2 linked regions of the Cricetulus griseus genome follow. The protein of the gene in region 1 interacts with the protein of each later gene in a pairwise test. Links are inferred from orthologs where the notes say so. Each region holds a gene or a part of one and is shown in the gene's direction. Other genes may lie near its edges. The genes, in order: Pex6 and Pex26.

Region 1 (11,914 bases):
GGATAAAGACACCTTAATACATGTAATTGAATTCTAATATTCAACTTTCAGATGTCTGACGTTCAGATTTTTCAAGAGTGTACACTACATAAAACAGAAGGACTATCTCAAGAAGCTCAACTGCAATAAAAAGGAGAAAGGCCAACAATCGCTGGAAGAAAATACAAGATTCAGAAAAAGGCGATCGCCACCATCCAAAATATTGACTAAATGTAAGGAAGCAAAAACTCGGTAACTGTGAACTGGAAATGTGACTTATCCCTGAATGTCATGGAGCAGTAGAGCGCAGACAAAGATGAAATCTAAGTCACAGTACAGGCTGTTGGCTCAGTTCCCATCACAGAAGCCTCTAGCCCTTTCCTTTCCCTTCTCTGGGGTAGAAACTGAGAATGGGTCTCCGAGGGTTAGTAGGGCAGAGCAACGGGTTTGAGGGAAGAGGTTAAACTGCTCAATCTGAGAGTTTGGCGGGAGTGAACACCTAGGAGCCGCGGCGCTGGAACATGGGCTTTGTGTGGGGCTGCGGGGGCAGCACCAACTGCGGGGCTACATGAATCACAGGCAGCGATTCAGTCAGCAGCCCCTACATAACTGCATACACACAAGCCTGTCTGGAACAGTTTTATGATCCTACAACTCCCTCTTACAAGGTTCACCGCAAACCTACAGATGAGCGGGACAAACTACGATTTCCTCAGGAAAAAAAAAAAGTGGATTCCTTCCACTTTTGACACCAGCCACTCTTGATCAATCAGATATTGAGTACGTGTTACGGGGCACGATAACCGAGAGGGCGTGATTTCCCCTACCGAAAAGCAAAGGTAAAGGCTCCTGCACGCAGACCCAAAGGGCGCATGCGTCGGCGATTACGGCGGCAGCTGGGGAACCAGCCCTGTACGTCGTCCCCAGGGGCGGACTCTGCCCCCGGCGCCCCGCCCATTTTCCTGCCGGAAGCGGAAGCGCCTCTCGCGCCCGCGAGCTTTCCGGTCGCTAGTTCCGGAAGTGGAGGTGCTGGCTTTCTCAGTGGCCATGGCGCTTGCTGTCTTGCGCGTCCTGGACCCCTTCCCGGCTGAGACGCCTCCGTTGGCGGTGCTGTTGCCGCCCGGGGGCCCGTGGCCTGCCACAGGGCTGGGCCTAGTGCTGGCGCTGCGGCCAGCAAGCGAAAGCCCTGCGGGGCCCGCGCTGCTCGTTGCGGCCCTGGAGGGCCCGGGCTCCCAGAACGGGCAGCGAGGGCCGGGACCTCCGCAGCTGCTGGTGAGCCGGGCGTTGCTGCGGCTCCTGGCGCTAGGTCCCGGGGCGCGAGTGCGAGCGCGGCCTGTGCGGCGGCCTCCGGCGCTGGGCTGGGCGCTGCTGGGCTCGGCTCCCGGGCCCGGGCCTGGGCCTCGAGTCGGGCCGCTGCTGGTGCGCCGCGGGGAGAGCCTGCCCGTGCCCGGCTCGCGAGTGCTGGAGACGCGACCGGCCTTGCAAGGGCTGCTGGGCCCAGGGACGCGGCTGGCTGTAACCGAGCTCCGCGGGCGGGCCAAGCTGGGCCCTGAGAGTACGCAACACAGCCGTCTCCCACCCCCGCCCGTGGCGTCCTCCTTTGCCGTTTCCCACGCAGTCCGGCAACTTAAAGGGGTCTTGGGAGGGACTGGAGATGCACTGGGTGTGACCCGGAGCTGTCTCCGGGGTCTCGGGCTCTTCCAGGGCGAATGGGTATGGGTGGCCCGGGTCGGAGAGTTCCCAAACACATCCCAGCCGCATTTGGCTAAAGTACAGCTCCTAGAACCTCGCTGGGACCTGTCCGAGAGACTGGGACCCAGCTCTGGACAGCTGGGAGAACCACTCGCTGACGGACTGGTGTTTGTGCCTGCTACTTTGGCTTTTAATCTCGGCTGTGATCCCCTGGAAGTGGGAGAGCTCAGAATTCAGGTCAGGAATGCTTCCTTTTCCTTCTGCCCTCTTACCTGTCTAACTGAATTAGAAGGCTAGCTGTAAAATGTAGGTCCCCTGTGCCTGAACTTTGCACTTACGGTCTCTTAGCCTTGTTTACCGGTTCTCTATTATCAATCAGACCGTGTCTCCATAGCGTAGGTGCATGGGAAGAGCTTTCATGTGTTGAGGTGACAGGTGAGGTTCCCTGTCAAGTGCCAGATGTGCACACTCGTACTCCCGCTAATCCGTAACTGGGTTGCTACAGTAGAATGGTGTCTTGGTACCTTCGGCTTATGATTTTCATTGACTTCCTGTTCTAACTTTATCTGACAAAATTCTACCATCCTTTACTTCAAGGCCTACATAAAAAATAAAAACTCTTTAAATCGTTTTATGATCTCAGTACCATAACTTTTAACATCATTTCCTCCCCCTATAGCCTTTTGAATCTTTGTTAGAATACTTATTCTTTCTCGTGATTACATAATCTGTCTAGTCCTCAATCATATATTGTAAATTCCTTGAAAGGGCTCTTTGTTATCTTTGGTACCTGGTATTTAATAGCTTATTAAATACATTTAAGAGACATTCTTGAAGTGTTTTGGTTTCTGCCTTTACTTTTAAAAGTACAGTTTGCTTGGGGGCCACTACTGTTTGGTTTCTAAGCATATGCGTATGCCTTAGGTTGGTGCTGGCTTGAAAAGAAGCCAGTAGCCACTTAAAGTTAATCAACTAGCTAAAACAACACCAGTTTTTTAGTTGATCTAACTCCTCTCAGGTACCCAGTGGTCATATGTACAAACAGAACCTGCCCATCAGTGTGGAAACTTGTTAGGTAAAAGACCAGTTAATACTATGAGATGGGAGGCTAGGGTTAGGCTCAGTGGAAGAGCACTGGACCAGCCCCAGAGAAGCCCTGGATCCATTCCTAGCACCCAAACCACATCAACCAAACAAGTCCACTAAGACATCCCCATGTGAGTAACAGTAGATGTGGGGTTCCTTCTGACTGAAGACAACTGGTGTGTTGAAACAGCCCTTTTCTTTTGGTTAGGCTATGGTGGCTCCTGTCTATATACTTAGAACTTGAGAAGCTGAGTTGACTGTCAGCCTGAGCTGTAGAATGGGACAACAAAACCATATCCTTTTCCCACAGCCAAAACTCAGTGTCAATTCCAGCAGCTGCCTGGTGTCAGTCAAAGAGTGTAGGGGCAGGGCACGGTGGTGCATGCCTGTAATCCCAACACTGGGGAGATGGAGTTGTCTTTCAAAGGCCTAGAAAGATTCCCCTTTGCAGACAGCTTTTTGGTACGCATTAGGAGAGCTTTGGGTGTATGTAGTTTGACTCCCTCAGGCTGCTAGCCTTGATACTGTAAAGACAGAAGGCAGATGTAGACACTGGCCACTAGAGGGTAAACCTGTCTCCTTGGAGGTTGTAAGGTGGTGGTTGTCTCTCCATTAGAGGTATTTGGAAGGCTCCATCATCCCTGAAGACAGAGGAAGCTGTTCACTGATGTCTGGGCCTCCGTTTGCTAGAGAGTTACACATTGAAATTGTGTCCTCACCTCACTACAGCGCTAATGGAGATTATGACCATGTTCTTTACCGGCACTTTCATACACCCAGGTTAGCTGTTATGCCTCTTAAGGAAAAGAACACCTCTCCTTGTCTCTCTCCTCTCCTCCCATCCCATGCCTCAGGCCCAGGTACCCCAGGGCTACTGGCTTAAGAGAACTGCATTATAGGCAGTGTTGTGCCTGGGAGCTGTGGAATGACCATGAGGTGAATTTGGACATTCTAAGAAAAAGGGACTGTTTGGTCAAAGAATATTCCAAAAGAGCCAGGGGTGCTCTCTGTCCCTGGTCTTTGATCCCATTTCTAGTCTCACCACCATTTCGCCAGCTCAATCTAAGTCTAATTGTTCCCTAGAAAATTGCTGAATAGGCCCAGATGTGCCAGGCGCACTCCTGACAATCCCACTGTGAGCTGACTGAAGCCACTGATGTGTTGCAGGGTGGTCCAGGAAGGGGATGTTCTGTGTGTGCCAACAGTTGGGCAAGTTGAGATTCTGGAAGGAAGCCCGGAGAAACTGCCCAGGTATGCAGCTGCCTCCTTATCTACAGTCTAGAGTCATGAGCTGAGTGCAGTTCAACAGTCTCCTCCCAAGTTGTATGTAATGGTTTTGTGCCAAAAGATATTTTGTTACTGCTGGAGACAGGAAATGCACTTTCTGGTTCCTGAGTGGACACAACCAAAGACAGATTAAGAATCACTGCCCAGGGTTGGGGTATAAGTAGTGGTAAAGTACTTGCCTAGCATGTGAGGAGGTCTGGTCTGTATTTGATTCCTAGCACACATGTGCAGACACACAACACTGAGTGAACAAACACTTTAACAGAGCGGGAGCTGCAGTTAAGTGTGGAGCGCTTGCCTGGCTTGACTGAGGCCCTGGTTCAATCCCCAGCACATACAAGTTGGGGGTGGTGGTGTACATCTGTACATGTAACACTTGGGAGATAGAGGTAGAAAGATCATGAGTTCAAGGCCAGCCAGGCCTTCTGTGAAGGAAAGAAAATGTAATTGTATCCTCGGCAGTAGTCCTCTGTCTTTTCTAGACTGGTTTTCCATTTCTTGGTTTTTTTCTTCTTTTATGTTTGCCTTGTGGGGTGGGGGTGTGGGTGGGTGTGTGTCTGAGTCTGAGTCTGAACACACGCATGGGTGCCACAGTGCACATGTGGGGGTCAGAGGATTACTCTGAGGAGAAGGATCTTACCTACCTTACAGGGTTTGGGAATAGAACTTAAGTTATTAGGTTTGGCAGCAAGTGCCTTTACCTGATGAGCCATCTTGCTGCCCTTCCCTGCTTTTGTTGTTTTTAGGTTTATTTAAAACCTAAATTAGGTAGATTTACTAAGGCAAAGAAAACCCTCAAAAGTGCCAGGGGCTTTAAGGGAGGACTGGTCCCATCATATTTTATTAGGGAGCATGGTTGATAGAGAGGCTAGCCCAACTTTGACAGCTATCATTTGCAGGTTATCTGCCTCGTCCTGTGACCTATGCCAAGTTAGACACCCTGCAAGAAATGCCTGGCTCACCTTTGTCAACATCCAGAGCTTCGTCCTTATTGGCACCTGGTGCTTCCTGTGGTAGTAACCCTAGTCCACATCAGGGCCTGGCATCTAGGCTGGTGCTTGGCAGTCTCTCTTGCCTCTGTGTGTTGAACAGTGCCAAAGAGCTAGTGATGTGTGTGTGTGTGTGTGTGTGTGTGTGTGTGTGTGTGTGTGTGTGTGTGTGTGTGGTGGTGCGGTGTTGTTAGTGGTTGGGGGGGGTTGCTTGTTTGTTTTTTGAGACATATTTTATCTGTGTCGCTTTGACTGCCTTGGAACCTGTACTGTAGACCAGGCTGGCCTTGAACTCACAGAGACTCACCTGCCTTTGCCTTCTGGGTGCTGGGATTAAAGGCTTGCGCCACCACTGCCCAGCCATCACAGGGGTGTTTTTTTTTTTTTTTTAAGATTTATTTATTATGTATACAGTGTTCTGTTTGCATGTATCCATGAAAGCCAGAAAAGGGCACCATATCTCATTACAGATGGTTGTGAGCTACCATGTGGTTGCTGGGAACTGAACTCAAGACCTCTGGAAGAGCAGGCAGTGCTCTTAACCTCCCAGCCAACTCTCCAGCCCAACAGGGGTGTATTTTTGAGCCAGGGTCTTACTCTGTAGCTCAGAGTAATCTCAAACTCACTATGTAACCCAGAATGACCTTGAACTTGCAGCAGTTCTCCAGGCCTAGCCTGAGTGCTAGGATTACCATGCCTGACTTAGTTGTTTTGTTTTGAGACAGGGTCTTATTATGTATCTCTGGCTGGCTTGGAAATCACAGATACCCATCTGCCTCCACCACTCAAATTCTGGAATTAAAGGCATGCACCACCATGCCCAACTTGACTTGGGCTTTTTTTTTTTTTTTAAGATTTTTATTTATTATGTATACAACATTCTGCTTCCATGTATATCTGTACACCAGAAGAGGGCACCAGATCTCATTATAGATGGTTGTGAGCCACCATGTGGTTGCTGGGAATTGAACTCAGGACCTCTGGAAGAGCAGCCAGTGCTCTTAACCTCTGAGCCATCTTTCCAGCCCAACTTGGGTGATTTTTTGGGAAAGGGCTTCATATAACCCAGGCTAACCTCAAAATCTATGTGTGAATGACGGCCTTGAACGTCTAATCTTCCTGTTTCTACCTCCTGACTCCTAAGATTTATAGGTATACACACACACTTCACATGGTGCCTCGAACAGACCCAGGGCTTCATGCTAGCCGCTGGCTGGTCACCCTCTTCACGATGAGTAGCTTAAATACCTCTAATTCATGGTGACACTGGTTAGGCTAGGCACGCATTCTACCAACTGAACTAAGCTCACAGTCCCTGCCTTAGTTTTCTGTAGAAAAACTGAAGCCACCCACACTTGATACTGTCAAAGGAAAGCAGGTGGTAGATCATTCTCTGGACTGCTGCTGACCCAGCTCCAGAAACCCGCCTGTCTTCTAGGTGCTGAGCACAGAGCTTCATGAACAGGGCTGAGTTCAAGGGCAGGTATAGGACTTGAGGCCACCGAGGCAGGATGAGGGAAACCCAGGAGCTCCTTGGGTTCCCTAGAAAGGAATTCCACTATTGATGACACACTCGGCCTCCCCTGTGCTCTGCTTCACCAACCAGTGCTACCTGGGAGTCCTCAGCCTCACTGCCTCCCACTGTGGCCCCCTGATCCCTGGCGTTTTGAAACACAACCAATGTATCCTCAGTAGTGCTCTGGTAAAGTCTAGCTGGCTGGCCTTTCTGCTTCATGAAGTGGAGCACTACCTTCTGCTGAAGAAGGCCGTCCCTTCCTAGCCCCCCACAGTGCCACCCCCTCATTGCTTTCTTATGCACTGTATCCAGGATATACGGACAAGATTTCTGGCATGATAGAGGTTCAAGGCTGTACACTCAGCTTCCTCTCATTTGAAGTACTCCCACCACCTTTGCTGCCAGAGCAGGCAACTTGGTAACTAACTATATGACATTTTGAGTAAAGGGGATTGCATCCTGAAGGGTCTTAGAGAGGCCTAGAGTACAGTTGTTCCTGGCATCTCACCGCCTAAGAATTAAAGGGAGAAGTCTCTGTCTGGGAGACTGAGTTTCTAGCTGCTGTCTGCACTTACCCTCCTCCCCATTAGTAGAGTAAGTACTTCTGATTCACAGTGGGTGACACTGGGTGTGACTGCTTAGGCCTGGTTAAGCCTTCAGATTGCATAAAATACAGATGCCTAACACACCCAGACACTGGGCTAGAACACGATGAATGAGCCTGTGGTCTGTCCGTGTTCAAGAGCTTATGGAGGTCAGAAGACAACTTGTAGGAGTCAGTTTTCTCCTACCTCATGAGTTCCAACTCATGAAGTCAGGCTTGGTAGCAAATACCTTCACCTGCTGAGCTATCTGGTTGGCCCCAGTGGAGTGGGGGGGGGTATGATTCTGAGACTGGAAGACCTTGACTACAACCTAGCTTCTTACACTCTTTTTGAGAGTGGGGGAGTTTGAGACAGGGTCTCTCTATGTAGTCCTTGCTGTCCTGGAACTTGCTATGTAAACAAGGTTGGCCTTGGAGTCTCAGAGATCCTCCTGCCTATGCCTCCAGAGTCAGGGGTTAAGGGTAAATGCCACCATTGAGGCCTCTCTTACCCCCTTTTTTACCTTTTTTTAGATTTATTTATATGAGTATTCTGTCTTCCTGTACATCTGCATGATAGAAGAGGGGATCAGATCCCATTATAGATGGTTTTGAGCCACCATGTGGGTGCTGGGAATTGAACTCAGGACCTCTAGAAGAACAGCCAATGCTCTTAACCACTGAGCCATCTCTCCAGCCCCTTTCTTACCCTTTTAAAGTGTACAATTCATGGTCATGGTGGCATGTACCCACCATTCCACCTACTTGAGAGACTGAGACAGAGGATCACTTCAGGTTATGAATTTGAGGTCATTCTAGGAGACACAGAGAGACCCCTTTCAAAATAAACAAGTGTATAATTGTTTTTTGTTGTAGTTAACAAAATTTTGTGCAAACATCTTTAATTCTTGAACTTTTCTAACCACAAAAAGACACTACCCACTAGTAATCATTCCCTATTTTCCCTTTCCCCCAGATTCTGGCAGTTTTCAACCTGTCAAAAACATGAAAAATATTTATTTCTAAAGCTTCACAGACAATTCCAGAATAGAGAATTACTCATCTCACTGCAGCATAGCCTGTCTACCTCACGACCTTCCTGACAGCCTACCCAGGACTAGAGTTAGATGGCATTTGTTGGATTACTGAATGAAAAACCAGGGAGACTTTTATCTGAGGTCTGGGGCCCTGGTGCAGAGGTATTGGAGAGAGACTGTTCTGAAACCAGAGGAAGTGGCCATAGGTTGCAGTGCTTAATGATGGTGGCTTTACCTTTTGAAGTGGGTGGCTAGGACATGTGCCTGTAGAAATGCCCTCCAGGGGCTATCTAATGGTTGTAACGGAGGTGCAGAAGGGCAGATGCAACTGCCCTCGGATGTGTTATGGTCAGTCAGTCAGAGAGATAGGACCGGCTGATTTCTACTCTCCCCAGCTCCCACCATCACGTCAGCCTCAGGGTACCCACCCATGCTGCGCCTGTGTGTCCTTTGTGAGAAAGCCACCTGCTCTTGGAGAGGGGCAGACGTGGACTCTAGGTCTTGGGTTCCTTGGCCCTCTTTCTTGCAGGTGGCGGGAGGTGTTTTTTAAAGTGAAGAAAGCAGTTGGGGAAGCCCCAGATGGGCCAGCCAGTGCCTTCCTGGCAGATACCACCCACACCTCTCTATACATGGTAAGGCCTTGGGCAGGAGGAGACCTGGCAATGGGGTAGGGGCACTATAGAACCATGGGCTCCCTCCTACCTTTCGCAGGCAGGTTCTGCCCTGAGTCGTGTTCCACTGCTGCCTTCAGGAAGGTCCACTCCCTGGGACAGCTTGTCTCCTCCAGGCCTGGAGGCCCTGGTGAATGAGCTCTGTGCTATCCTAAAGCCTCACCTGCAGCCTGGGTGAGTGAGGTGTAAATCCAGGCCATGAGAAGGGCCTGCCCAGAGCATCCCTGCAGAGCAGTGTCCAGGAAAATAACTCCCAGTGGTCTACCCAGAGTGGGGGCCCACAAGCCAGAACACCTAGGCCAGGCCACCAGCAGACTCCCAGGTGGCTCTCTGTCTGCTTTTCTGCTTAGGAAACCCATGATCCATCCTGGCCTTTATCTCTCCATCCCCCAAGGATGAAGTGCCCCAAGTCTAAACCCAGACCCCCTCCCTTTGTTCTTCAGACCAGAGCTATCAAGCTAGGCTTTCCTGGAAGCACTGTGTCTGTGTCTAGTTGCTGTGCCTCTGCCTGAACATGAGAGACAGGGCCAGAGTGCAGACAGCCTGAATGGGGGGGCAGGTAGGGAGGCACAAGCAGAAACAGTGCTTTTGAGGTCCAAGGGTCCCTATGTTACTGTGGTCTTAACATTTGGACAGAAAGTGGGAGACTGTATATTCTCTAATTGCAGAGGAACCTTGCTCACGGGAACCAGCTGTGTGCTGCTTCAGGGCCCTCCAGGCAGTGGGAAGACCACAGCAGTCACAGCTGCATGTAGTCGCCTTGGGCTCCATTTACTGAAGGTGAGAACCCCAACCACTTCCCCTCAGTCCAGATTCTGCCTTTCTCTCTCTTCCTTTGTGTTCTCTCATTACCATCTAGCAGCCCTTGAGCCCACTAGTCCAGGCTAACACACAGCCCACAATGCTCAGTTACTCAGGTCCTCACAGTCCCAGGAATGGACAGGGTGAACAAAAGCTAAGACCTGGCCAGTGCTCCTCCTTCGCCCATCCCTGCCCTCCACAGAGAAGATGATCCACTTTTGACTCCTCCCACCTCTCTAGCCTGGTCAGACCAACCCCTTCTCTCTTCACAGGTACCCTGCTATAGCCTCTGTGCAGACAGCAGTGGGGCTGTGGAGACAAAGCTGCAGGCAGCCTTCTCCCGGGCCCGCCGCTGCAGGCCTGCTGTCCTGTTGCTGACAGCTATAGACCTTCTGGGTCGGGACCGCGATGGGCTGGATGAGGATGCCCGTGTGGTGGCCACACTGCGTCACCTCCTCCTTGATGAGGACCCCGTCAGCAAGTGAGGAAGGGAAGGCCTCTCCTGGCACTCGCTCTGGAGACCAGGCTGGTCTCGAACTCACAGAGATCCGCCTGCCTCTGCCTCCGGAGTGCTGGGATTAAAGGCGTGCGCCACCAACACCCGGCCTCTCCTAAGTCTTTTCAGCCCTTTATTCCTCATTTCCTCATCCCTGCTGGCTTCTCAGAAATCTCACTGATATTTGTAGGAGTCTCCAGGGGAAGCAGGGTGTATAGTCTAGCATTTTGCAGGAAACACTAGGTTGAAGCCTTTGTTCTCAGTGAGCTCCCCCTGTCCACACAGATCCCCACTTAATGGTGCTCCCACAACTTGTGCTGGGGCTTTGGATGGCGCTTGTCTCTGCCCAATCCTGACACCAACCTCAAGAACTGCCAGCCATGTTCTCACTCTGTGCCCATTCCTCTGTCTGCAGTTGCCCTCCTCTGATGGTGGTGGCCACCACAAGCCGTGCCCAGGACCTGCCCACCGATGTGCATACAGCGTTTCCTCATGAGCTGGAGGTGCCAGTGCTGTCTGAGGAACAGCGGCTCAGTGTCCTGCAGGCCCTCACTGCCCACCTTCCCTTGGGCCAGGAGGTGAACCTGTTGCAGCTGGCACGGCGCTGTGCAGTGAGTATTACACAGGTGCCTTGACTCTGGGAGGTCATAGGTTCATTGTCACACATAGGACTTTGGTCCTGCATGAGGTGGTGTCCTGTGAGACAGGAAACAACCAAAGCCTCTGCTCAGCTGGAGTTCAGACCCCATGGGCTCTGCCTGCTACACCATGCTCATGTGTCTTTTTGTATAAATCCATAGGGCTTCGTGGTAGGGGACCTTTATGCCCTGCTCACCCATACCAGCCGGGTAGCCTGTGCCAGGATCAGAGCCTCGGGGTAAGAGGAACTCACCATAGGGGGGTAGCTGGTGAGGTGGGGAGAAGGCAATGAAACCTGCAGAGAGGTGGTCTTGTCTTACTCTCTTGTTCTCTCTGTTGTTTTGTGGCAGTCTTAATCTGTAGCCTGGTTGGCCTGGTCCTTTTTTTTTTTTTTTTTTTTTTTTTTTATTAAGACAGGGTCTCAGCCTTAGCTGCCCTAGAACTTACTGTGTAGTCTTACAGGTGTAAGCCTAGCCTGTGTTTCTCTTTGTAGTTTGGCAGGTGGCTTGAGTGAGGAGGATGAGGGGGAGCTGTGTGCAGCTGGCTTTCCCCTGCTGGCCGAGGACTTTGGGCAAGCCTTAGATCAATTGCAAACAGCTCACTCCCAAGCTGTGGGCGCACCCAAGGTGAGAACTAGGTCCTCAAGGTGGGGCAAGCGCTCCTTCCTGTCACCTCCCTACACTCCTCTGTCTCCTAGATCCCTTCAGTGTCCTGGCACGATGTGGGTGGGCTGCAGGATGTAAAGAAGGAGATCCTGGAGACCATCCAGCTTCCTCTGGAACATCCTGAGCTGCTAAGCCTGGGCCTGAGACGATCAGGCCTTCTACTCCATGGGCCACCGGGCACTGGCAAGACCCTCTTGGCCAAGGCAGTAGCCACTGAGTGCAGCCTCACCTTCCTCAGGTGGGCAGTGCTTGGAAGGACATGTGGGAGGGAAGAGAAGACAGCTGTACCCACTATACACATCTGATGGGTCTCACTCGCCCACTCTGTTGCTCAGTGTAAAGGGACCAGAGCTCATCAACATGTATGTGGGCCAGAGTGAGGAGAATGTGCGGGAAGGTGAGTGAGCAGGGAGGGGGCCTGGGGTCCTTCTTCAACCCCAGTGGCCCTAGTGCCACCTCCCTCCCCCAAGCTG
Region 2 (12,550 bases), on another chromosome or scaffold:
TATGTATGTATATGCACGCACACACACACACACACACACACACACACACACACACTCATTCAGACACCTGTGGTCTCCTTGTATCATTTTATTGAGCTGCAGAAGCAGCTGCCCAGCCTCAGTTTCCTTGACTGTAGTATATGCCTCCTTCCAACCCCAGAGCTACAGGATTTATTAGAAAACAAGAAAAAGAGTTAGTTCAGAAAGGACACTGAAAATTACTCATAGGCAAGAAGGCAGGTTGGGGTAGCAACATCTGAAGAGTATTAAAAATCCCTTTCCTGCTTTCTGAGGCAGACTCTTGCTACCAACAGGCTGCCCCTGAGTTCCTGATCCTCCTGCCTCAGTGTCCTGAGGGTTGGGGCAGATGTTTCTCTTTTTTTCTGGAGCTAGGCAGGGTGGAGTCCTATACCTTTTCACTTATTGCTCTCCAGCAAGGGTGTTCCAGCATGAAGATGCGACAGTGAGAACCGTTTGGAGAGGTCCTTCCAGAGCATTGCATGTCTACTGTGTTGTACCGTGCTGAGGAGCACAGGGATCCAGACATGAGTGAGACCTGATATGTTCTTAGGAAGGACGCAAATATGGGAATGATAGAATTAAAAGGAAATACGGGAATTGGGAAAGATGGATAGGAGAGGCATGAAAAAGCTGAGCCCAAGTGGGAGTTTTCAAGAAGGAATAATGAACTTGAACTTGGTGGAGAGGAGAGCATTTTACCCCTTTGGCAGCAGGGTCAGGCTGAACACCAGTCCTGAGAGCATCTATTCCGTATTCCAACCAGCTGACTTTCTGTCTGTCTGCTGTGAGATTAGGTCACCTGAATAGATCTTCTTGATTTACGGATCAGTGAAGAGAGGTCTCCTGAGGAGGGCTCCCTGATGAGCACCTCAGGTATCTTCAAGGTGGATGAAAAGAATTATAAATGGTTTTTTTGGGGGGAGACAGTCTCATTATGTAACCCTGGATGACCCAGAATTTACTATGTAGACCCAACTGGCCTCAAATTTAGAGATCTACCTGTCTCTGCTTCCTGAGTCCTCAGATTAAAGGTTTGTGACCTTTAATTAATAGGTTTTTTTTTTGTTGTTGTTTTATTGGTATTGGATACAGAATAGCCAAGGGAATGCTGGGAAACTTGTTAAGTTGGAGCTTTGTCATTAAAGACAAGGATTTGGAGTTTAGGCAGCCTAAGCTTTAGCAGAAACAATATGTAGGGACAACAGCAATAACAATGGCATTTTAAAATTAAAATACAAGGGCATCCTTTCCCTTCATTCAGTAACAATGTTGTTTGCCTTACATGGCTGTAGCCAGGTGCAAATAAGACAAGCATCAGGGGTTTTGAAGAGCCGATGTTAGATCCTCAGTAAGAAGGAGACTCTGGGGCCCGAATGCTCATGTCATAATGTTGATCATTAAGATGAGTTATGCCTCCAGCAGTCTGAAGAGCACCCAGCATAGAGTTAGTGCCATGCTGTGTCAACTGAGACATCATTATGTCGATGTCCTCTGCAGGAGGATTACAACTATGGTGATCACTCTCTAGGCACAGAAGTTGAATTCCCACTGCACTAAATGGGGAGGAGAAAACAGGAGCACCACGTTCTCTTCTGTGCCTTGAGACTCAGTTTTATCAAAGAGCCGCATAAAAGCCTGAAGGTCTAGAGTAGGAGGGCACACCCTTGAAGTCTTGGGAAAGCCTTCTCTGCACCCTGCCCTTACTTACCTCTTTGGCTTTCACTAGGCCAAAGGTCCACGCACAGTGGAATCTATTGCCTATGGAGCATTGGTACAGATAGCCTCTACTGAGGACCAATGGTTGGCTGGAATCTGTTTGAGAGAGCAGCTGAGGAGGCTTAGAATGACGGGCCAGGCTGAGAGAGATGTGAACATTTCTGACTTTGCACAGAAGTGTCTAGCTAGAGTCAGACTCCAAGCTGAGGATGTGTCTCGGTGCACCGACGGCTTTCCTAATATGTACGAAGCCCTGAGTCCAATCTCCACTACCATACAAACTAGGTGTGGTGACATATCCTGTAATCCCAGCACTCAAGAGAAGTTCAAGGTCATCCTTTGCTATATAGCAAACTCAAGGACAGCTTGTTCCTAAAAGTAAGATCACAAAGATTCCAGAATCTGGAGGTGAAGAATACTTTCTGTTCCTTATTTGAGTCTGAATATGTGACAGCTTCATTAGCCTGAAGGATGCCACAGCTTTGCAGGCTCAGTGGGTTATCCCAATCTCCCGATGCTCACAGCTGGTACATGCTAGTGCCCACATCCTTAGAGAAGACTGAAGCACAGGGAAGTTGGATAGGTACATGGAGGTCAGGCAGCTTTGTCGCAAACAGAACCAAGAATGTAACCTGTGTTTCACTCTTCTTCTTTCACAGCAGGGTACCATCCTGTAGACACCTGCATGTGAAGAGCTGAGTCCTGAGGGTGTCACATAGAAGAAAGAGCACCACATCACAGACAGGCACTAGGAGCTGGGATAAGATGAGGAGACATGTGTCTCATTCACTCTGCTGGTCCCCTCCCCCCCAGTGAGATAATCCCACCAATACAGATACTAACTCGGGCCAGGCCTTGTTGACTGGGAGAACTGTACTTATTTCTATTCCTGGTATTTCATGGATGAGTCAATGAAAGGAAGGTAGGTACTTTCCAAACATCCTGCATCAAGGGCCCTGGGTTAGGAAGAAATCTCCAAAAAAGAGGACAGTGGGTCACTGCAGTAGTGTGTTGGGGAGTCAGTTTGCCAAAGGTTAGGTGCTAACATTGAGACCACTGTGAAGCCCCAAATGTACAGCTGAAGATCAAGTGAAACAAATAAATGAAGCACAAGCTTATTTTTATTAACATTTATTGTGTATTAACTGTACAAAATAATGGGTTTCATTGTGATGTTTTAACAAATGCATTTAGCACACACTGACACTATTTTATTTTTATATGAGTTTAGCACATCCCACTCCTGCTTTAAATATCTTGACCTCATTCTGGTTATTGTACCATTAGAGAAATTTGTCTGGTAAGAAAGATTTTTTAAGGCTATTCTGCCATCTGCTGGACAAACCTGGAATAGTGAGAAATTTGTTAGGTGGTAAGAAAAACATTTCCTGGCCTCAATCACACAGTGGTGACTCTATTTGGTGGCAGCTTCAGTTTGCCTATGTCCTTCTTGTTCTTGTTCTTGTTCTTGTTCTTGTTCTTGTTCTTCTTCTTGTTGTTCTTGTTCTTCTTCTTCTTCTTCTTCTTCTTCTTCTTCTTCTTCTTCTTCTTCTTCTTCTTTCTTCTTTCTTCTTCAATTCATTTTTTTGCCAGGCAGTGGTGGCACACACCTTTAATCCCAGCACTCAGGAGGCAGAGGCAGGTGGATCTCTGTGAGTTTGAGGCCAGCCTGGTCTTACAAAGTGAGTTCCAGGGCAGCCAGGACTACTACACAGAGAAACCCTCTCTCAAAAAGCAAAAAACAAAACAAAACAAAATTTGTGTTCTATTTTTTGCTGCTCTCTCAGTTCTGACTGTTCTGGCCTCTTAGGCCAGAGGTTGACATTGGGCATCTTCCTCTATTGCTCTTCAACGTATCTTTCAGAGGTTGGGTCTCTCACCGAACCTGGAGCTCATTGATTTGGCTATCTTGGGTAGCTAATAAGTCCCAGAGATTTTCCTGTTTCCACTTCAGATGCCTGGATTACAGGTGTCTGCCACTGCACCTGGTTTTTTGTTTTGTTTTGGTTTTGTTTGTTTGTTTTTTAATACGGCTGTTGAGAATCCAAGATCAGGTCCTTATATTTGCAACTGATCGAGTCACCAGCTGAGCCACCTCCCAATTTCTGCTCTTCTGAGTTTTCAGAGTATACTTTTAAACTCAGTTTAAGGGTCTAGAGAGAAGGCTCAGAGGTTAATAGCACTTACTGCTCTTCCACAGGACCCAGGTTTAAGTTTCAACACCCAGATGGTGATTCACAAACATCTGTAACTCCATAGATTGGGGGATCCAATATAACACCCTCTTCTGGTCTCCGCAGGCACCAGGCATGCGTGTGATACACAGACATAATGCAGCAAAACACCCATCCACATTAAATTAAAAAAAAAAACCAACAATTTAGTTTGAGAAACAGATGAGCTGTTATGTTTTGCAACCCCATAATTATGTTATTACTAATGATCTTAACCATTTAATGTTCCATTGGAGGCAGAGCTGACAGAATATTTTGGCAGTCTCAGTCCCTGCAACCCACATGCTAAGTATCTCTGCTTTGTTTTAGTGTTTGCTTCAGGGGGGTAAATGCTGTCTGTTGATGAAGGAGGTCTCCTCACAATGACACAGAGAATATGTTGGTTCCAAACACTGACCCCCAATAACAAGGACCAGTGCAGTGCAAAAAGGCCATATTTTCTGTGTGTTGTGCCCCTGTCTCTGGACTTGCTGTTAGAAAACAGAGGCAAACGCATCTATTGTGCTGGCCTCTCCATGGTTGCCCCCATCTCCCTTCTCTTTCTCCTTAGTCTTTATCATCTGACAACACCATTGACTCTATTTTACTTGCTTGAATGTATGTATGTACTCATGTACATATATATTTAGAAATGGGGTTCTTGCTGTGTTGCCCAGACTGCTCTCCAGTTCCTGGCCTCAAAATAATCTCTCCATATCAACTGCAGAAGTAACTGGGTCTACAGGCATGTACATTTGTTTATTAATAAGCTCTTGTTTATTTTCGTTGTTTGTTTCCTTCCGTTATGATCCAAGCTCCTGAAGGCTCTGTCCTTGATTTCTATGGGACCCCCAGTGTCTGCCACACAGTGTAAGGCCAGTGAGACGGCTTAGCGAGTAAAGGAGCTTACCCCCAAGCCTGGTGACCTGAGGTTGATCTCCAAGACACAAATAGAAGAAGGAGAAAACGGACTCCTGCAGGCTGTCCTTTTACCTCTATCTACACTTGTGCTGTGGCTACCTGGAGGCACACAAAAAATGTAGAAAAATTAAAAAAATATTTTAGATTTATTTATCTTATTTTATGTGTGTGAGTGTTTTGCCTGCATGTATGTATGAGCACCATGTGCATTCCTGGTGCCCCAGGAAGTCAGAAAAAGGCATTGAATCCTCTGGAACTAGAGGACAGATGGTCGTGAGTGGCTCTGTGGGTGCCGGGAACTGAACCTAGGTCTTCCATGAGGACAAGTGCTCTTAACCACTGAGCTATCTATCTCTCCAGTCCTTAGGGGAAAAACAAATTAAGCAGTATTTTAAATGAGTGGCACCTTTTCACCTTACACAGTCACAGTACCAGCGTCTGACAGACTTGACATTTCTGTCTCAGCGGCCTGAGGACTTTCTGTAGAGACTTACAGGCTGTTGTAAGCAATAAGACATGTATGAGGTGAGCAGGTCCTGGCCTGGTGCCTAGCTGTCATATCCAGTCACTACGGGAGCAAATGGTTCTAGGAAAGCTTGGGAGAGAGTTCAGAGGCTAGAGAACTGGGCAAAAGTAAAACAAGAATACATGTAGAGGAGTTAGGAAACCCTGCCTGAAGCACACAGATAATGATTGATTTATGTGTCTGTGTAAAATTATGTAACAGCAAGCTAGTGTATAATAGCAAGTGGTAGCAGTCTGATCCCTGAGTTCGGGGCCATCATGGTCTACAAAGTGAGTTCCAGGAAAGCCGGGACTACACAGAGAAACCCTATCTCAAAAGACAAACAAACAAACAAACAAACAAACCATATGTAATAGCTGCAACTTAGCATTTCTTACTTTGGTCTCAGTACTGTACTGAACAATTGCATTACACCTGCATGGCTTTGCTTTTATGATATCTTTATTTTATGTAAACAATGCAGGTCCCAGGAGCTTATGTAACTCACTTGTGTGTTGTTGGTTAATCTACTGAGTGCAAAGCGTAGATCAGTTATATCTCCACCCCGACATTCCTTTCAGTCAAAAAGTGCTTCTTTGGTTTGACAGTGTTTTTGTGACCTACCTCGACTGTAAAATAGAGTAATAACTCATAGAGATGATGAAATAACTAAGAATGCACGGAAAGCACGTTGCACTGTGCCACACTTTAAAAGTAAAGAACCCAGGAAGGGGAAATAGCTAGTTCGGTGTTTCATTGTCCTACGCTCCCTGTCAACGCACCCCTTCGGAAGTTCAGAATAAAGGTGCAGGTAGCTCCACCTCCTTACTGGGCCTCTTCCGGTTCGTGAGAGAAGGATCGTATTTCACAGGACACAGGCGATTTTACTAATGGTTTAGCTGCCCCACCTTTTCCAACCCAAAGCTGGTGAGCTGGTGCGTTCTCTGGAGGATGACAGTCTCCGGGTGCCAGAGGTTTGAGGTTGTAGTGGGAACGCTCCCCTAAGCGTCGCAGAGACAAGAGGCCAGGACTACAACTCCCAGAGTCCCGCGCTCCAGGGCGCGCGCGTGCGCCGTAGTGGCGGGGCGGAGGCGGAGTTGTCAAGCTCTTGTGGGTAGTTAGAGTAGGGCGAGCTTGCGACTCTGGGAGCTCGGGTGCTTCCAGCGCTTGTCTGGGGTGTGGGAGGAGCAAGTGCCTGGCGTTCGGCAGCATCACGACGTATATGCAGGCCAGTCCCGCCAGAGTTAGGCTGTCGGTGAGCGCGGGCTGTGCCTCGGGTCCAGCATCTTCATGGTCCTTTCCTAGGATCTGACCTGGAGAGGCGTGGAGCACAACGCCTGCCGGTCATCTGTCGGGCCCATTCCGGATTTCTAGCAGGCTCCTGACGTGTGAGGAGACCCGGCCGAGCCAAGGCTGGCTATGAAGAACGACGCCTCGACTTCTGCAGCCCTCATGAAAGGGCTCGTGGGCCCTTTGCGGAGCAGCGAGCCTGCGCGTGCCCTTCCGGCTGTGCCACCCGCGGTGTACCTGCTGGAGGAGGCGGCCGACCTGTTAGTGGTGCATCTGGACTTCCACGCCGCATTAGAGACTTGCGAACGGGCTTGGCAGAGCTTGGCCGAGGAGCCCACAAGTGGCACGTATGTGCTGGGCTGCCTTCCTTTCTGATCCTTTTGGGGAGGACTTTCTGGCATTGCCAGATTGCACCAACCTGACACCTTGCTTTCACTAGGGGATCCTCTCTGGGAGAGGCTGGTTGCTCATTCTGCACCCGTGCTCCTGAGGAAGAAAGGGTCACGTACAATAAAGAAGTCAAATCATGAACAGTTTGGGGGATAGCCACAGCCAGTTCTTCGCTCACTCTTTCAGTGCAGGAGGACAGGGTGGATGTCAATTAAGTGTTCAGTTGTGAGGGGTTCAGTTGTCAGGGAGCAGGAGGCCTCCTTTGGGGACCCACCCCTTATTCACTCCTGGTTTTGTCAGATCATGGACATGGGGTCAAGGCAGAGTGGTCTGGTCCGGTTGAAGGGTTGGATGAATTACTTTTAGGAAATCTTTGCCCCCGGGTTGCTCATTCTAATGCATAGACCTCCTCTGGCAGCTGGGGGCACCATTGCTCTGTGGAGCGTTACCTTCCTTAGGGCTATATGAACATACTAAGGAGGAGTAGGCAGAATGAATAGTCCAATTTGATAGCAGAGAAATAAAACCTGGAGAAATTGGCTGTGGTTTTAGGGGGGCAGAGGTTGCACATCGAATGTTGAGGGCTTTGCTTCTGAGCATCTGGACATAGCTAATTCTTAGAGGCCAGTTGAGTTTCTATAGAAACACCTGGCCAGACACCTCTCCAAGCCCACCTGTCACTAAGCAAATTCTTGCTGCCCACTCTCCGTCAACACACCTGGTGGCTGCATGCCATTTCCAAGATTACCTTCCGGCTCATTCAGTTCTGACTGGGTGGTAGCCTCCGAGTGGAAGCTGGATGCCTGTCTGAGTGGAAGAGGGGAATGGAGAGAGGGGAAGCACTTGTAACCCTGACTCGTGTCTTTCCGCTGACAGTGTTGTGGAGGTGAAGTGCTCCCTGTGTGTCGTGGGGATCCAGGCTCTGGCAGAAATGAATCGGTGGAGAGAAGTCCTGTCCTGGGTCCTCCAGTATTATCAGGTTCCTGAAAAGCTTCCTCCCAAAGTCCTGGAGCTATGGTAAGTTCCTCGTGCTGACATTGGGCCAGTGTAGGAACACAAGTCCCTTCTTGAGTCAGGGTCTCATGACTCCTTCATCCTCCTTCTCGTCAGTTTCCTTCAAGTTCAGGTCTCCCCACTTTGTTCAGACCTCAGACCACAGCAGCTAAGGATGAGGAAGCCGTGTTTGGGAGTAGGGTACAAGAAAAGAGAGCACACACTGGTAATAGTGAAGCAGTCTAATGAGGGGACAGGGCCAATCAAGCATCCTGCTGCCTCCCGGAGATCCCCCCCCATTTTGGTGTGTATTTGTGTGTGTGTGTGTGTGTGTGTGTGTGTGTGTGTGTGTGTGTGTGTGTGTGTTCGCGTGCCTGCGTGCCTGAGTGCCTGCGTGCGTGCGTGCATGGAGATTAGAGAAGGGTATTTGGAGTCCTCCATCATTCTCTGCTTTATTCCTCTGAGGCAGGGCCTCTTTCTGAAGCTGAAGCTCACCTTCTTTCTTGGCTAGGTTATTAGCCAGCAAGACCCAGTGATCCTCCTGTCTCTTCCCCCCTCAATGCTGGAATTACAGATGTGGGTAGAACCACATTAGGCTTGTTACGTGGGTGCCAGCCTCCCCTCCCCAATTCTGATCCTCAGGATTGTACAGATAATGCTCTTTAAAAAGTATTTTACTTTTTGCTTTATTATGTGTATGGGTGTTTTGCCTGAATGTATTACATGCATTGCATGTATGCACTACATGCGTGCCTGATGCCCACAGATGCCAGAGAAGGGTGTTGAATTCCCTGGAACTTCAGTTATAAACAGTTGTAAGACTCCATGTGGGTGCTGAGAATTGAACCTGGGTCCTTTGGAGGAACAGCCAGTGCTCTTAACCTCTGAGGCATCTCTCAAGTCCTCAGTATCCATTTTTTTTTCCTGTGTAATAGCCTTGGCTGTCCTAGAACTAATTTTGTAGACCAGGCTGGCCTCGAACTCACAGAGATCCACCTGCCTCTGTCTCCGGAGTGATGGGATTAAAGGCATGTACCACCACCACCAAGCACAATCTCTAATTCTTAAAATTATTGTTATTATCTAGAAAATTTGTGTGTGTGTGAGAGTGTGTGTGTGTGAGTACGAGCACATGTGTACACATGAGTGCCAGTGCCCTTGGAGGCCAGGAAATTGTCTCAGATATCCCAGAGCTGGAGTTACAGGTGATTGTAAACTGTTCAATATGAGTGTTGTGAATCAAACTCCAGTCCTCTGTGAGAGAAGTACGCACTACTAATCACTATCTCTCCAACCTTCCAGTTTTTAATTCTTAACAGTGTCCGTATCCCCAGGGAAGGGCTGGAGGACCTGGGAGGGTGGGATTACAGAACTTTGTGGTTTTGAGAATGAGCCAGCTGTAGAGTACTGATTCTTTTCTTTTGGGGATTGTTTGGGGACACAGCATCCTTTTATACAGCAAAATGCGAGAGCCAAGAGCTGTGCTGGCTATGGCTGATGCCTGGCTCCAAGACCCAGACAACCAGGGCCTTCCTGAGTATGGATCACTGGCAGAACTCCACCTGCTCCGGGTGCTGCTACCCTTGGGCCGCTTGTCAGAGGCTGAGGGGCTGGCAGTGGGCTCTGCAGCTTTCAGCGAAGAGCAGCGGGAAGCAGTGCTCCAGGCCATCTGCACAGCAAGGCAACAGCACACACGGGAGCATTTGAGTTCTCAGGAGCAGCAGCAGATGAGCCAGGAAGGTAGGACATCAGGGCTCTATGGCCTCTGCAAAGGGGTCCCATGGCATCCCCTGTACCAAGTTTAGGAACTTGAAGATTTAAGTCACTGTGTCATATTACAAACCAAGCTAGATCCTCCGAAATTGGGGAGGTGTTGAGTCCCCTGACCCTGATTTGTCTCCCAGTTTTGGGGACTAAAGGCTGATTGTGGTAGTGTACAACTTTAACCCCAGCACCTGGGAGGCAGAGGAAGGTGGATCTCTATGAGTTCAAGGACAGCCTGGTCTATGGAGTGAGTTCTATGACAGCCAGAGCTACACAGAGAAATCCTGTCTTGAAAAAACAAAACAAAAAAGAAAGAGACGTCACCTTCCTTTGGAATCTGATTGGTCATTTCCTTGGGATCCTTTCTAGTTTTTTTGCTTCTATCATACTGGTCTGGGAGCTGTTACGCCTCCTTTAAATGCTGGCCCTATTAGACACACAGCTTAACTCATTAACTCATGAAATAAAAATGACCTCCTTCAGCTTTGGGTCTTTATGCACCGTCTCCTATCTGCCTTCACTTAACCAGAGCTTTGAGTGTTTGTGTTTTTAGCTGAGGTCTGCCGTGTTCATTTACATGCAGTTGTGCTACCCAGTGTCTTCTGGTAGCATCCTCACAAGGCAGTGGCACGGAGCTGGGAGTGGGTTGTTCTGTTGCAGGAACCTAAAGGCCCCTGGCCCCAAACCATCACTGCACCTCAGTCTTTTCAGTCCCTTTCCTTCAGCCTGTGTGTGAACACTTCCGAGGTTAGAACATTACCTGTCTCTTGGAGCAGTGCTTTCTGTCCATTTTTAAAGATTTATTTTTTATTATTTTAAATTATGCCTATGTATATGTCTGTGTATGGATGTGGGTGTGTGAATGCAGGTACCCATGGAGGCTAGAGATCCCCCTGGGGCTGGAGTTACAGGCAGTTGTGAACCCCAGAATGTGGATGCCAGGAACTGAACACATAATGTGTGTGTGTAAACTTTATTATAGAAAAGATTGTATCCCTTTTATTTGCTGTGATATCACTTTATTGTGTGGTGGCATAAATAAACTAAATAAAAATTTGGATATGAAAAAAGTGATTGTAGATTAAAACAAAACAACAACAAAATAAAACACACACCAAAATTAATGAGACTGAAAGACTATACAATTCAATGATCTTCTATACAGTTTGAATAGCCATTCGGAACAGAAGCTGTGGAGTTTCACAGTGGATTTTATACTTCCACATTAAATATATTTTTCGGTACTTAGCCACCATCAGAAGCAAAATATCCATTTCAGAGTAGAACTAGAAAGACAATTGGCTTTATGCCTTCTTCTAACATCTTCTGTCTTTGGACAGCTTAGGGATTGTTAAATTTTCTTCTTTTTAAAATGTACATGAAAGCCTGTCATTAATTAGGAAATTATAACTCTGTTCTCCAAAGTACTTTTCTCTGTGGACCTGCTGGGATCTTAGGCCTGCTTTGCTGTCAGGTTGTTGGTTTCAGGAGTTGCCTGTGGCTGCCAGGCCTTCTACCTTTGCCTTAGTTAGGTTTCTATTGCTGTGATAAAACACTATGACCAAAAGCAATTTGAAGAGGAAAGGGTTTATTTCATCTTACACTTCCCCGTCACAGTCCATTATTAAAGGAAGTCAGGGCAGGAACTGAAGACAGGAACCTGGAGGCAGGAACTGATGTAGAAGTCATGTGGGGAGGGGTGCTGCTTACTGACCTGATCCTCTTGGCTTGGTCAGCCTGCTTTTTTTATGTTTATTTTATTTTTTATTAGTTTTTTTAAGGTTACACTACAAAGCAGTTGGTTTCATTTATGGCATTTCTTAATTTATTTTTCATTTTACATACCAATCTGTTTCCATTCCCTCTTCTCCCCCTTCTTCCTACCTTCTATCCACTCCTCAGAGGGGGTAAAGGCCTTCCTTGGGGAATTAACAGCCTGCTTTCTTACAGAACCCAGGACCACCATCCAGGGGTGTCCTACCCCTGTGGGATAGGCTCACACACATCAATAATTAATCAAGAAAATGCTCCCCAGGATTGCTCCCAGGGCAATCTGGTGGGAGCATTGTCTCAGTAGAGGTTCTCTCTTCCCAAGTGACATGAAACTTAATAGCACAACCGTAATCCCTGTGGCAAGTCCAGGGGCTTCTGTCAGGACTGGCCCTGTTTGTCTTTGGGCTACTAGTAATCATGATTTTATTCACAATCCCAGTCTTGAATTCTCTACTGCATATATTAAAGGCCCTTCATTTCGAGGTGTTACTGTGTCACTAGTAAGGCTCTGAGTTATTTTACTCATGTCAGTTTGTAAGATTGACAAATGCTGTAAAATAAGGGGGCTGTTCCCAGACACACACTTACACAGCTGAGCAGGTCTCATGTGCACTGACTGTGTCTTCATACAGTCCTTAGAACATCTTTGGATGGCTGTGGGTGCAGCTGAGTGGTAGAATACTTGCCAAGTATCTGCAAGGTCATGGATCTGTTCCCAGCATGGCAGAAGCTGAACTGAACCTCCAAACAAACAATGTCATTCTTAGAGTTCTCTGAGTTTTCTTTTGAACTATTTCATGAGCCGAGGAAATCATTCTCATCGTATTTTGATTGACTCTTCAGATCTGGCTCAAGGCTCAGAGCCAGGGAAACTGATCTGCCTGACTCACCCTGCAATGCTCTGTCCCCTGGTCAGGTTCTTTCTCCCATAAGCTGATGTCACTGCTGAGGTTGCTTCGCCGGC

The links.
Region 2: the proteins of Pex6 (region 1) and Pex26 come close enough for resonance energy transfer, tested with the Homo sapiens proteins (2 studies listed by BioGRID). The link is inferred for Cricetulus griseus from reciprocal best matches to the Homo sapiens genes PEX6 and PEX26.

What each region holds. Positions count from the first base shown.
Region 1 is NW_023276806.1:256,129,782-256,141,695, forward strand, and holds the start of Pex6 (peroxisome biogenesis factor 6), read left to right. Parts: upstream 1-984; 5' UTR 985-1,026; coding exon 1,027-1,908; intron 1,909-3,373; coding exon 3,374-3,537; intron 3,538-3,924; coding exon 3,925-4,008; intron 4,009-4,943; coding exon 4,944-5,057; intron 5,058-8,698; coding exon 8,699-8,801; intron 8,802-8,880; coding exon 8,881-9,014; intron 9,015-9,508; coding exon 9,509-9,620; intron 9,621-9,913; coding exon 9,914-10,122; intron 10,123-10,552; coding exon 10,553-10,748; intron 10,749-10,937; coding exon 10,938-11,014; intron 11,015-11,269; coding exon 11,270-11,402; intron 11,403-11,473; coding exon 11,474-11,679; intron 11,680-11,776; coding exon 11,777-11,838; intron 11,839-11,914. UniProt on the Homo sapiens protein: Component of the PEX1-PEX6 AAA ATPase complex, a protein dislocase complex that mediates the ATP-dependent extraction of the PEX5 receptor from peroxisomal membranes, an essential step for PEX5 recycling.
Region 2 is NC_048601.1:23,705,664-23,718,213, reverse strand, and holds the start of Pex26 (peroxisome assembly protein 26), read left to right. Parts: upstream 1-6,465; 5' UTR 6,466-6,795; coding exon 6,796-7,013; intron 7,014-7,932; coding exon 7,933-8,073; intron 8,074-9,493; coding exon 9,494-9,789; intron 9,790-12,502; coding exon 12,503-12,550. UniProt on the Homo sapiens protein: Peroxisomal docking factor that anchors PEX1 and PEX6 to peroxisome membranes. PEX26 is therefore required for the formation of the PEX1-PEX6 AAA ATPase complex, a complex that mediates the extraction of the PEX5 receptor from peroxisomal membrane.